Drosophila melanogaster: one gene and its partner. Changing the gene in region 1 together with any one later gene gives a genetic interaction. Each region holds a gene or a part of one and is shown in the gene's direction. Other genes may lie near its edges. The genes, in order: HGTX and mid.

Evidence for each region.
Region 2: of HGTX (region 1) and mid, changing one enhances a phenotype caused by changing the other (phenotypic enhancement), as found in Drosophila melanogaster (one study listed by BioGRID).

Annotation. Positions count from the first base shown.
Region 1 is NT_037436.4:14,596,449-14,601,723, reverse strand, and holds the start of HGTX (HGTX), read left to right. Parts: upstream 1-2,183; 5' UTR 2,184-2,788; coding exon of another isoform or gene 2,789-3,010; coding exon 3,011-3,938; intron 3,939-5,275.
Region 2 is NT_033779.5:5,459,907-5,467,925, forward strand, and holds mid (midline), read left to right. Parts: upstream 1-1,732; 5' UTR 1,733-2,011; coding exon 2,012-2,198; intron 2,199-3,912; coding exon 3,913-4,363; intron 4,364-5,313; coding exon 5,314-5,599; intron 5,600-5,987; coding exon 5,988-6,806; 3' UTR 6,807-7,704; downstream 7,705-8,019.

The DNA of each region.
Region 1 (5,275 bases):
CTCAGTTGAGCTCAGATTTTAGGGCCAACATGTGAAAGAAAATAAAAATCTCACAAATTATTTATTAATTACCCAGCGCAGCCTTGCTCAAAAGATGTGAACCGAGTTTGAGACCAACTGTAGGCATTTAATAGTGTTTTCAATTCTCTGCTTATCGGTATTGTAAATTTTAAATTTGCTCCTCAGCTTCCATCTCAGTTCTTTCATTTTCTCTTTTTTAGCACAATAAAACAATAAATCAATCACAGTTAGGGCTTGTGTAGTTTTGTTATCTTTAACCAAGTTTTTAGTGTCTTGTTAGATTTTTTGTGGGGCCGAAATTTATGAACACTGTAAATATACTGTAAAAAAGACTTGATGGATTTAGTTATGAATTTATAAAATATTATTTTTTTTCTTAAGGGTATGTATTATTATGTTTTTCTTGTATTTAAAGTTGTCTTAAAAAAAATGTAGTGACAAACGACTTATATTGATAATATAAATCTTACAATTAACTTTTTCGTTTTTAAACAAATTCAATAGTTTTTATATTAAAGCTGAATGCTTACAGGCAACCTTAAAATTTAAAGTGTAAATTTTTCAATATTTTTCGTTAAAGATCTGTTAACTACGATGAAAGAAAATTCTATGACATGTTTTCTGCCACGCATAAATTTATGGGGAATTGTTTCAGATCAAAGCAAAAGATGAGGGCTGCTTAGACGAACTACGAAAGGAGAGACGAATGGATGGGTAAGGCTTCCAGGAGTATTTAAGGTCTTCATTTTTATGGGTCGGCAAAGTCAATTAAATAAAGAACACAGTCGAAAATCAACAAGCTGTGGTGGAAATGACCAGCAAAAGATAGAGATACTCACTCAACGGTTGAGTGAATTCGCTCCTTCATACTTTCACTCACATTCATTCACAATGGCGGTCCAAGTTCTCTCTCCCTTTCTCATTTTAGTGGGCGTGGCCTTGCCCTCTATTCCACATCCCATTTCATTCCTATGAGATCTCACCGTTTTGTCTGAGTAAATTAAAATTGTGTGTAGTTTATTATTAAATGAAGCGCATTTTTGTATTTGTATGTGGACCACCCGTCTGCCTGTCAGAGTATGTGTGTGTGTGTGTAACACCAGCAACAGCGGTATTTTTATATAGATAAACATAAATATAATTCGTTGGCCGTCGGTGGGTTAACAATCCTCCGGCCCACCGACGGGCACATAATAATATTAAAATGTTAATTAGCGTATTAATTCAGTTCGGTGATGAAAGTGTGAGCGGTACAAAACGTGATACATACATATATATGTTGGTATGCTGTGCTGGGACTCACATTTCTGAAAATAATTTATAAGATAATCTAGAAAAAGGTGTCTTTGGTATATGGTTAAAAAAAATCCTTAAAATATAGAGTAATTAAAAAATAAAACTATATAGGCATATTCTTTACAGTTCGCGAATTAATAACATTTCACATATTTATGTTATATTACTTAAGTACAGAATTTTGTATTAAATTAATTACAAACAAACATTTAAAAAAAGTGTTGAAATACTTCTACTTTAACCTATAGTTTCTCGTTTACATTTATAGCTCTCATTTATCGCCAGCGCAATTTTTAATTATTTAAATGAATAAGTCCAACGAAAAAAGCTGCCAGCTTCGTCTCAATATTTATAGCTTTTTAAACAAATAAACGGAATTCGCAGTCGACAAAAAGGCCACCCACAATCCAGCGACCCAGGGAAAAAGCCATGAAAATGCACTCAGCCTCAAGGAAACAGTTGGCCAGAAAAGGACAGATGGTGGTGCAAGCGAGACAAAGCACACCAAGAGTGCCAGGATAAGTTCCCGTTTCAGTCCCAGGCTCCAATCCGAATCCGAAATAGTTGATTTTAATGATGTACATAATAAAATTCCCATTCGTTTTGTGCCAATGCCACTGCGTTCCAGTCTGCATTTCATGTTTACACTGATTGTGGAACACTCTTGTGGGCGAGAAAGAGACACATCGATATGGGGGAGCAAGACAACCATATACGACTCTCTCCCTCGCGCGCTCTAGAGATGATGCTGCGAGTGGAAGTGGAATCGGAATGCGGAGGGTTGAAAGCCGTACCCCCAACCAAAAACCGAAACTGAAATTGAAACTGAGATTGTGCGACTGAGGGCCAGTCGAGTCAATTTCGAAATCATTCGTTAGTCGTAGGCCTAAACAAGCGGACACGCGCGGGTCTTCATTCACTACGATATTTTCCGGCCACGGAGTTACCCATATAGCCTGATCTCGTTCAAATCGATTATGCCAAGTGTAGTTTCTTAAAATCTAAGAACGATTTGAACAATAAACGTTTTCGTGCTCAACCGTTTGACAAAATCGGTTTCGTGCTTGTGCTAAAAAGGATTCAAGATCATTTGATCATTTGATCTTGAATATATAGATTTACGTGTTTTAATCGTATCGTGATCGGAAAATATTAAAAACCCTATATAAATATAAATACTGCGTACATCGGAAACTGAAGTGCTGACATTATAATTGAAAACAATTCAAGCAAAATACGTAGTTAAACAAAATTTCCAAAAAATTATTAAGGAACTCAATAAGTTTTATAAGCATAAAGCAGGATATCCCCTTAAATAATTTTTTTGGTCTTAATTACATAGAAGTAATTAATCAAAAATATTTGAACAAAAAGCTGCTATTGCTTAAATACTATTTATAACCAAACTGAAAAGCCTAAATCGTTAAGATTCGATCTTCTCCGCGTGAATACCTATCCGTAGACCGATCCCAAGCTGGGTAGTCCATTCCTGAGCATTACGCCGGCGGGTGGCAGCAGCAATCCCTCGCCCACGCCTCCACCGCCAGACGCCAAGGTGGCGGCCAAGCAGCTGGCCCAGAGCTTCCAGCTGTCCGCCAATTCCGCCTTTAACTTGGCCCTTCCGCCGGCATTTTACCGAGCACCACCGCAGCAGCACCCGGAGTGCCTGGACTACGGCCACGAAGCGCCCGAGATGGATCTGATAAATCCGTATATGCGCCATCATAGTTTTGCGGCCGCCGCCCAGGGAAGTCCCCCGTCGGCGGCTCAACGTCATCATTTGGCGGCGGCCATGAGCAATGGCTTCGCGGATGTCCATGCCCATGCGATGGCGGCGGCGGACTATCAACAACAGTTGGCCGATTACCACAGTGCAGCGGCGGCAGCGGCCGTTTATGCCAACAACAATAATAATAATAACAATAATAGCAGTAACAACAACAACAGCAGTCCGCTAATGTTGCTAAAGGCGGCACATGGCGGAGGTCTCAAGGATTCGGACTCGCCATCGACGACACCGCCACCCGCCTCTTCTAGACTCCATTCTGACTCCTCGCCATCTCCGCGATACGAACACAATTCCAGTCCCGGTGTGGACAGTGCCAAGTCGTATGCCTTGAGCCAGAGGAGCAGCGGAGCGGAGGATCCATGCCAGACCAGCGAATCCGCCAGTCCACCGCCGCAGGGCCAGAACGACTACAGTCCCGAGAATCTCAGCAGCCAGAGGGCAAAGTTCCAGCACCATCATGGAGTGAACCCACTGGCTTTGCACAATGCCAACCATGCCGGAAACCCCGGATGTCACAACAACAATAACCACATGGACCACAAGCTCCCACTGAGTTTTCTCGGTCCCCCGCTGGCCGCTCTTCACTCGATGACCACGGAAATGAAGGGTCAAGGAGTCGGTGGATCGTCGGCGTCGGCAAATGGCTTGTCCTATAGCCACAGCCCGAATTCGCATTTGATCAGTGATCGCGGATCCGGTGGCAGCTCATCGTCGTCCTCCACCACGACTACGAACACCAACAGCCAGGGTGCACCCAATCCGCACGGCATCGATACCATCCTCTCCAAACCACCGCCGGTGACATCGGCGGGTCTAAGTGCTTTAACAGGAGGTGAGTAAAGGAATGGATTTAATATGGGTTGGGTTTATTATATATTATACCCTGTTATTTTATACCAATTATATTAAGGAAGAAAGTGTATAAGGCCATGATTTGGGGACTTTTAATAAATTTCGAACTTCTTAAAGATGTTTGTTAAAACACACATTTTAATAATGCATAAAATAAAATACATAAACAATGGTTCTTGTTTTTACAATTTTATTGACATAAATCTAAATTTGGAAAAATCAAAATATTCCATTTAAATTTAAGCGCTTTCCAAAAAGTTGCTATATGTGTTGCTTAATGCTGAAGAACTTTGCTCTAATTTGAACGCATAACTATTAAACTTAATTGCATAATAAAAATGAAATAATAATACGCTACCTGTTTATTTACAATTGTCTCTCCCAATTCAATGCACCTAGTCATTATGCAACACTGAAATATGTGTATATATGTACATATGTATCAGACACGAATCAATAGATATTTTGTATGCACCGAACTCAAAAAGCCAAAGAAAAAAAGAGATATATTTTAAATGCTTCAAAAACTCGTTTCGCAAACCAAACAGAAAAATAAAAAGGCAATCTCGTCGAACAAAAACGACCGAAAATTGTTGTTTTGTTTACGAATCCGGTTTGGCATGATTCCATATGATTCCATGATTCAATAAAAGCCATTCCCCAGCCCACAACCCCCCTGTCATTACGCCCCCTGGTCGCTTTACCTAATCAGGGCAATTTTGGATATTGAGCACACCGTTTTCTACGAAACCCAAAATGGTTATAATATCCAATTGCAAAATTACCACATAACGTAATGAGATACGCGTTTTAACGTTAAAATTTGCAGCAATTAGTTGTCAAATTGTTTGTAATTAAATCAAAATGACACACAAAAAACGTGGTCTATATGGAAAATAAATGGTGGAGGGGATCTGAATCTGTGACGCTGTCGTTTCACTAAAATGATTTGGTTTTTCAGCCACTCTGCGTCGCATTTTTTGTACTTTTTCACTCAAATGTAGACCAATTGTGTGACATGACAGTGGTTTGAAAGGAGGGGGCGCGGTTGACAGGGTGATGACAATTTGCCATAACATTTTTAATTATTTTTAACGAGGGCGTTTATGTGATTTGATTCGTTTATTTGGGTTTTTCTTTAAACGATTCGGTCACCAGAAACGTAACTCATTCTTTGACAAATTATTTAATGGTCTTTAATTAATTCGAACAAATTCCGTATTGTGTGTTTGAGTTCGCCATGAGTGGGCAGAAAAATTGGCTGGCTGAGAACAAATTGCGCGAAATTCTCATGAAAGGGAAATAAACTTTGGAGAG
Region 2 (8,019 bases), on another chromosome or scaffold:
CCTAAAAAGACACACATGTAGATGCACAGACAAGGCCAACATATTAGGAACATAGGCTCTTTTTATGAAAGGAAGTGTAAACCTTTTTCTAGAATCAAAGTATGCACTCTACTTTTTAGAACCAGCGTTCTTGTGTCATAAAATTGTATTTAAAGTTATCCCAATCTATAATGCTATCGTCCGTTTTGCTTTTGAATTTGTTAATGCTGATAAAACATTTTATAGCTATCAACTTAACTGCAATTGTAACCAGAACACACACGACGCATCCCTCCCCGTCCACTTTCACCATTTCTCCCAGGGCGAAAGTGTCAAAGTGACATGCCCACTTTGTCGCTACCCGACTTAAAAAATGTCTCAAATTACAAAAATCACACAACAAGACGGTTTGTTCCTCGCACAGGATAAGCGGGATTAGTCAGCTTGTTAGTTAGTTTGGATCTCCGCGTTCCGTTTTTCAGGATCGCAGGATTTCCGTCATGGCAATTGGCAATCCGAGCAATACGTAATGAATGTGACGAACTGTCAGTTGTTTCGAGTTTCCTTGTCGCAGCCGCATTTTCTTTGCATTTTTTAGCGGGTTAATTGGCACTGACAAAGGTCTTGACTTTTGCCTGGGAAACATAACAATTTGTTGACATCTGTAAATATTATGGGGGAATTTTCCAGAGGACTAGCTTCTATCATACAGCGTGTGGAATTGTATATAATTACTAACGGAAAAATATCCCTGTTAACTTTTTGAATCGCCATAATCTAAATTTCATGATCATATCCTCTTGAATATAAAAAAATATAGCTTTACAAATAAAAATGTCTTGACTAATGCTTATAGATATACTATGTTTTCAAATGGACTTCTATAATATGTACTAAGCGAATTGTTTAAAATATGTTCTTCCCTTTACCGAAATAAATTCAAATTGCATATACATTTTAAATAAACTTGTAGTTATTTTCGCACTCTTTATTCATGTTTTTAGAGCACAGAAAAATTTCTCGAGCTCAAACTAATAAATTCCCAACGTCCCATTGCAATAACCTTGACTCAAGGTCCATGTCCTTGCAGATAAATAAGAAAGGAAAAACAACGGGATGCAACTGCAGAAAAAAAACAGAGACATAAAACTCACTCAAAACAGAATTGAGTGAGACACGGAACGTGTTGGAAACGAAATGGAACAGACGGAAGATGGAAGAAAACGTCAGAAGAGGAGATAACAGGAAATGGAATGCGACGACAACGGCGAAAAGTTGTTTAAAAAAAAAGACCAAGAAAAACCGCAAGCAAAACGTTGGCACTTCATAAATGGGCGAGAAAGAGAGGCAAAAATAAAAAGAAAGAGACCTCGCTATGGAGAAATAGAGAGGTGCGAGGGAGAAGGCCAAAAGCGCCGACATTTTTAATTGTAAATGAGTTATGACGCGTTCGTCAGAGAGAGAGGTGAGGCGAAGAAAAGAGAGGGGCGCAAGTTGCTGACAGCGCCGCCTTTCTCTCTGTCGCACGTTCACTCCCCCGCCGATTTTCCAATTGGAAAACGAGAGAGCGAGTGGCGTTTTCACTCAGAGTGTGCGGCTATAGGGCTATCCCGCTTGCACTCGTACTGGCGCGGCTCGCTGTAGGGTGGTCTCGCTTGCACACATAGGGACCATAAGAGGAATAACTGGTTTCCCGAGTTTTGCGCCTGCCGTCGTTTTTGGCTTCTCAGCGGCAACATTTTCCTGACACAATTCAGTTCGTCGTCGCCTGCCTTCCGTTGCGCACACACTCAGTCCGCGAGATTCTCAGTTCGCGTGCGCCAAAGATAAGCAAAAGAAAGCAAGAGAGATATAAAGATACAAGATACTTACACCTTGAAACATACACATACCCCTCGAGTTACCAAAGCTAAAGATGCATCTAGCTTTATAAGTGCCAAGTGTTGAAAAGTGACCAGATACAATACCCCAATACCTTTCCAAGGTATTCCCTAGTTAAAGCCCCATTAAGAACAACATCATACCCTTCAAAATGCTGGTTGGATCTCATCCGTATTTGTGCAACGGGGTGCCCGCCGCCCCTGCAGCACCAAATGCCAGTGGACAGACAACAACAACGGCTAGCAAAAGTGCCGCCGGCTCAGCGACGGACTTTTCCATCGCCGCCATCATGGCTCGCGAAGATGCCTCCAGTCGGGAGTCCTCCATTCGCAGTGCAAGTAAGTTCAGATACATATTGAAAATATCCTTAATAAGAAAGGAATTCTGTGGGAAGCGGCAGAATCATTAATCGGTTGATAGGAACAATTTGTTCTTAAAAATATATTTTTATGCATTAGAAATTTAATGCCTTGAATATTAAGCATTTCGATTATATAGTGATTTTTAAACAAGATTTTTTTAGGCTTAACAGACTTACAGCAAGATTCATTGATGAGATGTAGAATATCTTTAAGATACTTTCATTTCTGTAGTCTCAAATACCATAGGGTACTTTTGTTTAGAACTTCATTTGACAAGCTATAAGTTCCCTAATTCAACAATCTTTAATCATAGTAGGTAGTTGTAACTTTAGATATTCACTTATCTCCTAGCAGTGCTTTCTGTACAAAAACTTACTTAACATACCAGCACACAATAACTAGAAATTGCTAAAACAAAAATGGAATTTTTATACGATTAATTCAAATTAAACGTGATTAACAACTCAACGCCCAAGAAGAGAACCGCAAACTTGACCAGCGAATGCAAACATTATTAGCCACAAGACAATCGCTAATTGATTGCACAACAAATCTATTAAATTACTGTTGTCGCTTTGGGTGCGCAGAGTTCCATTTAATTGCTAATGACAATTAGCAGGCGTTCCGGCCACGTTAAAAAAGAAAAAACTAGTTCTCTCTGGCCGACGGCATTCGCAATTAAGTCGAGCCAAAGATCGCGAATCCAGATATTTGTTAGCAAACACTTGCAGCGCTCTTTTGTGGCCGATATTATGATAATATGCAAATTGTGCACAGCATCTAATCGCGCGGAATTCATATTTAACAAAGGCTGCTAATTATGTTAATTAATTTTCAACAATGTGCTTCATTTTATTAATTTTACGAGGCGCAGAAAATTAGCGACGGCCGAAATCAAAACAAAAACGCTACGAGGTGTTCGTATTTTACGATCTCTTTATCAAATATGCAGCTTTTTTAATTTCATATTTTGTTTTGTTTTTTTTGTTTTCTGTGGTCGCTTTCCGTTTTCCGTTTGCTTACTTTGCATTTTAACACCTACCGTCTGGGCTCACCTGCAAAAAAACCGGGCTGCTTAGTTCTCCCCATCATTTTGTTACCATTTTCGGCTTATGGAAAATGGAAAGCGTATGTGAGAGTTCGCCCATGGATAAGCCCAAAAATATTATTCATCAACTTTTGCGCACACACCTTGAACGAAAGCCCTCCGCTTTTGTTTATGCAATGGAAAAGAGCAATCGCAGCTAGAGTTTCGGGCTGTTTAATTGCCGATTTGTGTTCAGTTTGACAATTAAGCCAGCGGTCGTCGTCGCACTGTCTCATTGCAATTGAAACGCGAAGCGAAGCGGAAACTCCAAGAATATGAGACGACTCCACGCTGTCTGCCGCGAAATCAGCTCCACCACTCAATGTTGTCAACGGAAGCACGGCCTCGGTTTTTGGCCAAATGCACAACGGAAAAATCGTTAATAAGACGCACAAGTTATGAAGGAAAAAGTGATGAAAAATTCAGGAAACATTGTGATCTTTAAAGTGTTTAGTGCCAAATATATTGAAGGCTTCAATTTAGAGATTTTACTTAACGCTTTTTCCCATGTGCATTGCATTTTAATTTGCATTACCTCCAAAACGAACGGTGTAATTCAGATTTAATTTTCAATTTTCGCTTTTTCCTCTCGTGTCATTTAAGGTCCCATTTCGGTGGAGGATGAGGTTGACGTTGATGTGGTCGACTGCAGCGATGCCGAGGAGCCACCGACTAAGGCGCGTCGTTTGAACCATCATCAGCACCACCAGCATCACCAGCACCACCACAATAACAACAATAACAACAACAACAACAATGTGGCACACAAGAGTCGCAACAGCGGTGGCGCCGTGGCACAAACAGCTTCCGCCGAATCCCAACTGAACACCAGCTCGACCAGCAGCCAAGGACGCTGCTCCACACCGCCCCAATCCCCGGGAACGGAGGACAGCGAGGAGCGTTTAACACCGGAACCGGTGCAGAAGGCACCCAAAATTGTCGGCTCCTGCAATTGCGACGATCTGAAGCCGGTGCAGTGCCATCTGGAGACCAAAGAGCTGTGGGATCGCTTTCACGATCTCGGCACCGAGATGATCATCACCAAAACGGGCAGGTAAGCATCCAAACCAGCAACAAGCCATCCATCCATCCAGCCATCCATCCAACCATCAGTCAGTCAGTCGAGTTTAGTGCAAACAGGCATTAGTTTTAAATGGTGGAGCAACGTGGGAGATTTTGGGAGGTAAAAGTTGCTGCCAAATGGCATTACCCAAACATATACTCTTTTCACAAAATATTTTGCATTCATCACTTTTCCGCAAAACTTCTTTATTGAACAATCAAGTGTCTGCGTGTTCAATCATCAAAGATGTTCACCCTAAGTCAGTTGCCCATAAATTGGCTCGCCAAATGGTTTTTGCAGTGTCAACAAAAATTTCATGCCATTTGAGTGAATGTGTGGGGTCTATTTCCTCCAAAAGGGAAACTGTGCAAAAAAAAAGGAAACATTTGTGTACCTGCGCAGGAAGAAAATGAGAAAATCAGAGCTATGGGCGTTGCTGTTGTCAGCGGGAGAATGGGAACAAGTTCAATCCAAATGACCACGGGTTGTCCACACCTTTGCTCCCACACACCTGACCACACGCACACAGGTCACACATATAGATAGATATATATACACCTTAATGATATTGTAAAAATCACACCTCGGAGTCGCAGACATCAGGGCGGTCCCCGATGCCCGCCTTTGGCCTTTTTGGCCGGAGGTTATGTCACCGGGTTTTGGAGGGACATTAAACCACAGGATGTAGACAAGAGGGATACACAGGTTTGTGACTCAAAAAATGAAGGAAGAGTTTCGCTTTTGTCTTCATTGTCTGCACTTGTCAAAGCAGGGAGAATCGAAAAGGAAAATATGGGAAAAAATCAGCTTGAAGCCCCAGTGTCTGGGCCATAAATAGTCGACTTAACTAGCTGTGTGGCAATAGCAATCCCCAAAAAAAGGGAGCATTCAATGAAAGCAAAAATCTAATCGAATTAATTTAACTTTGTTACCTCTTCCAGACGCATGTTCCCCACTGTGCGCGTCAGTTTCTCGGGTCCGCTGAGGCAAATCCAGCCCGCCGATCGCTACGCCGTCCTCATGGACATCATCCCCATGGACTCGAAGCGGTATCGGTACGCCTACCATCGCTCCGCATGGCTGGTGGCCGGCAAGGCCGACCCCGCCCCCCCAGCACGCCTCTACGCCCATCCTGACAGTCCCTTCAGCTGCGAGGCGCTCCGCAAACAAGTTATCTCCTTCGAGAAGGTGAAGCTGACTAATAACGAAATGGATAAGAACGGACAGGTGAGTTGACTTGAGATACCGAGACGCTGTGGTACTGAGATACTCAGATGCGCAGATACTCGGCTGCTGAGACATTCAGATGCTGAGGTAGCGATTAGCCGCGAGTGCTAAATAATTGATAATTTTGCAACACGAAGAAATATTCGCCAAGTTGCGAGTCTAGAGACCATCGTTGATTAATGTTGCTTTGCTGTGAAAATGGAAAATGTTCGTGTTCAATTCAAGAAGTGAATTTTAGGACAATATACTTCTATCTAATTTATGAAAAGTTTTAAAGAATATTAAAGATAACTTTCAATCATTTAAGCACTTTCCTAATTCCCAGCTATGTAAATTTCAATCGACTTACTACAATGAAACCTTTTCCCTCTTTTCTATTCCCTTCCAGATCGTTTTGAACTCGATGCATCGCTACCAGCCCAGAATTCATTTGGTGCGTTTGAGCCATGGACAGAGCATTCCGTCGAATCCCAAGGAATTGCAGGACTTGGATCACAAGACCTACGTATTCCCGGAAACCGTATTCACCGCGGTGACGGCCTATCAGAATCAGCTGATCACCAAGCTGAAGATCGATTCGAATCCGTTCGCCAAGGGCTTCCGCGACTCCTCCCGCCTCACCGACTTCGATCGCGATCCGATGGAGGCGCTGCTCCTGGAGCAGCAGCTCCGCTCGCCACTGCGCCTCTTTCCCGATCCGCTGATGCAACAGTTTGCCGCTCAGGGTGATCCCTCCTCGATGGCGCTGTTCGAGAAGGCACGCCAGCATCTGCAAATGTTTGGCGGCAACTCCCCCTATGCCCAGCTGATGATGCCGCAAATGTACCAAGCGGCAGCAGCGGCAGCCGGACCACCTCCGCCACCCCCCGGCCTGGGCGCCTTCCACATGTTCCAGCAGCAGTGGCCCCAACTTACCGCCGGCTTTTTGGCCAGCGCCAATCAGCAAGCTGCCGCCGCTCAAGCCGCCGCTCAGGCCCAAGCGCAGGCGCAGGCGGCAGCCGCAGCGATGGCCGCCAACCGGACGCCCCCACCCCCGCCCACTGCATCCACGCCCTCGTCGACGTCGTCGGGATCGCCGTCGCCCGATATGCGACCGCGCCAGTATCAGCGGTTCAGTCCGTACCAACTGCCAGGCGGTCAGGGGCCACCCTCCTCTGCCGCCGGTTCGCCACCCGCGGTAAACGCCTCACGCAGCCCCGCCCACTAAGTTAACAGCCCACGCCACCAAGTTCTTGCCACGAGCAGTATTAAAAAGTGAAAGCACTGGGGTTAAAGGTCGTCTCTTAAATGCAAAAAAGTTCCTGGAATACTAAGAAAATACTTTAAAAAAAAACGTAAAAAAAAAATCGTCAAAAAGTTTTTAATACAATATTTTGCTTTCCGATATGATTTCTTATAAAAAAGATCGTTTCTGGCAAATATTACTGCTGAGTTTCTTTTCAGTCAATGAAATTGCTTAAACTTTAGCTTTATTTTTCAATTTAGACGACCTTTAAGCCCAGTGAAAACTACACAAAAAAGGTTAGCCATCTTTTTGAATGTTGTAAATTATTTGTTGTTTATATGAAGGCAAAGAAAAACTTTTCTCTATTTGTTGTAAAAATCTTAAATTATGTATAAGCTGTACAGTTCTTCTCACTTTCCCCTAGACAATTTTTGTAATCTAGTTTAACTTATTGTACAAATGTTTAAATGTTGTTCGAAAACTCATCTCAGTGTAAAGTTAGAACGAAATTCACTCAAAAACTAAGCAAAACAAAAAAATATACATATACATAAATAAAACGCTGCACGATTGTAAACTATATATAGCTATGTAGTGTAAGCATAAATCGTTAGTAATGCTATTATATATAATGATATATTCATAGTATTAACAGTAAATTCATAGACGCTTCAGTTAGTTATATTTATCCGGCGAAAACGTAAAGATTTATTTAGCATAAATTAAAGGAGAGTAAAACCATAATATGTATTCAATGTGAACGCTAAAAAAAGTGAAAACACGAAAAATATTTAAACAAAAATTATTAAACGAAAAATATGAAGAAAAAAAAACACAAACATACAAAAACCAATCAAAAATAAATAAAAATATGTGAACCAAAACTAGCAACGTTTTTTTAATTGGAATTTTTATTCGATATTTGAACAGATAGATCTGAAACGTTTCAGTTTTCGTTTTAAAAAGCATTATAAGCTTTTGGTAAATAATTATAATAATTTTTCAACAATTTTCCCCACGTCTCGAGTATCTTCGAGACTCAAATTACTTTCCCTCTATAAGAAATACTCCACATAAATTACGCATTATAATGCCCTGACAAACACTTCAGTTCGCAGGCATGCAAAGTAGCCAGAAATCCTGTTTGAATTTCTCACACAATATCGCAGATATATCCTGTTCCACATAGGCGTAA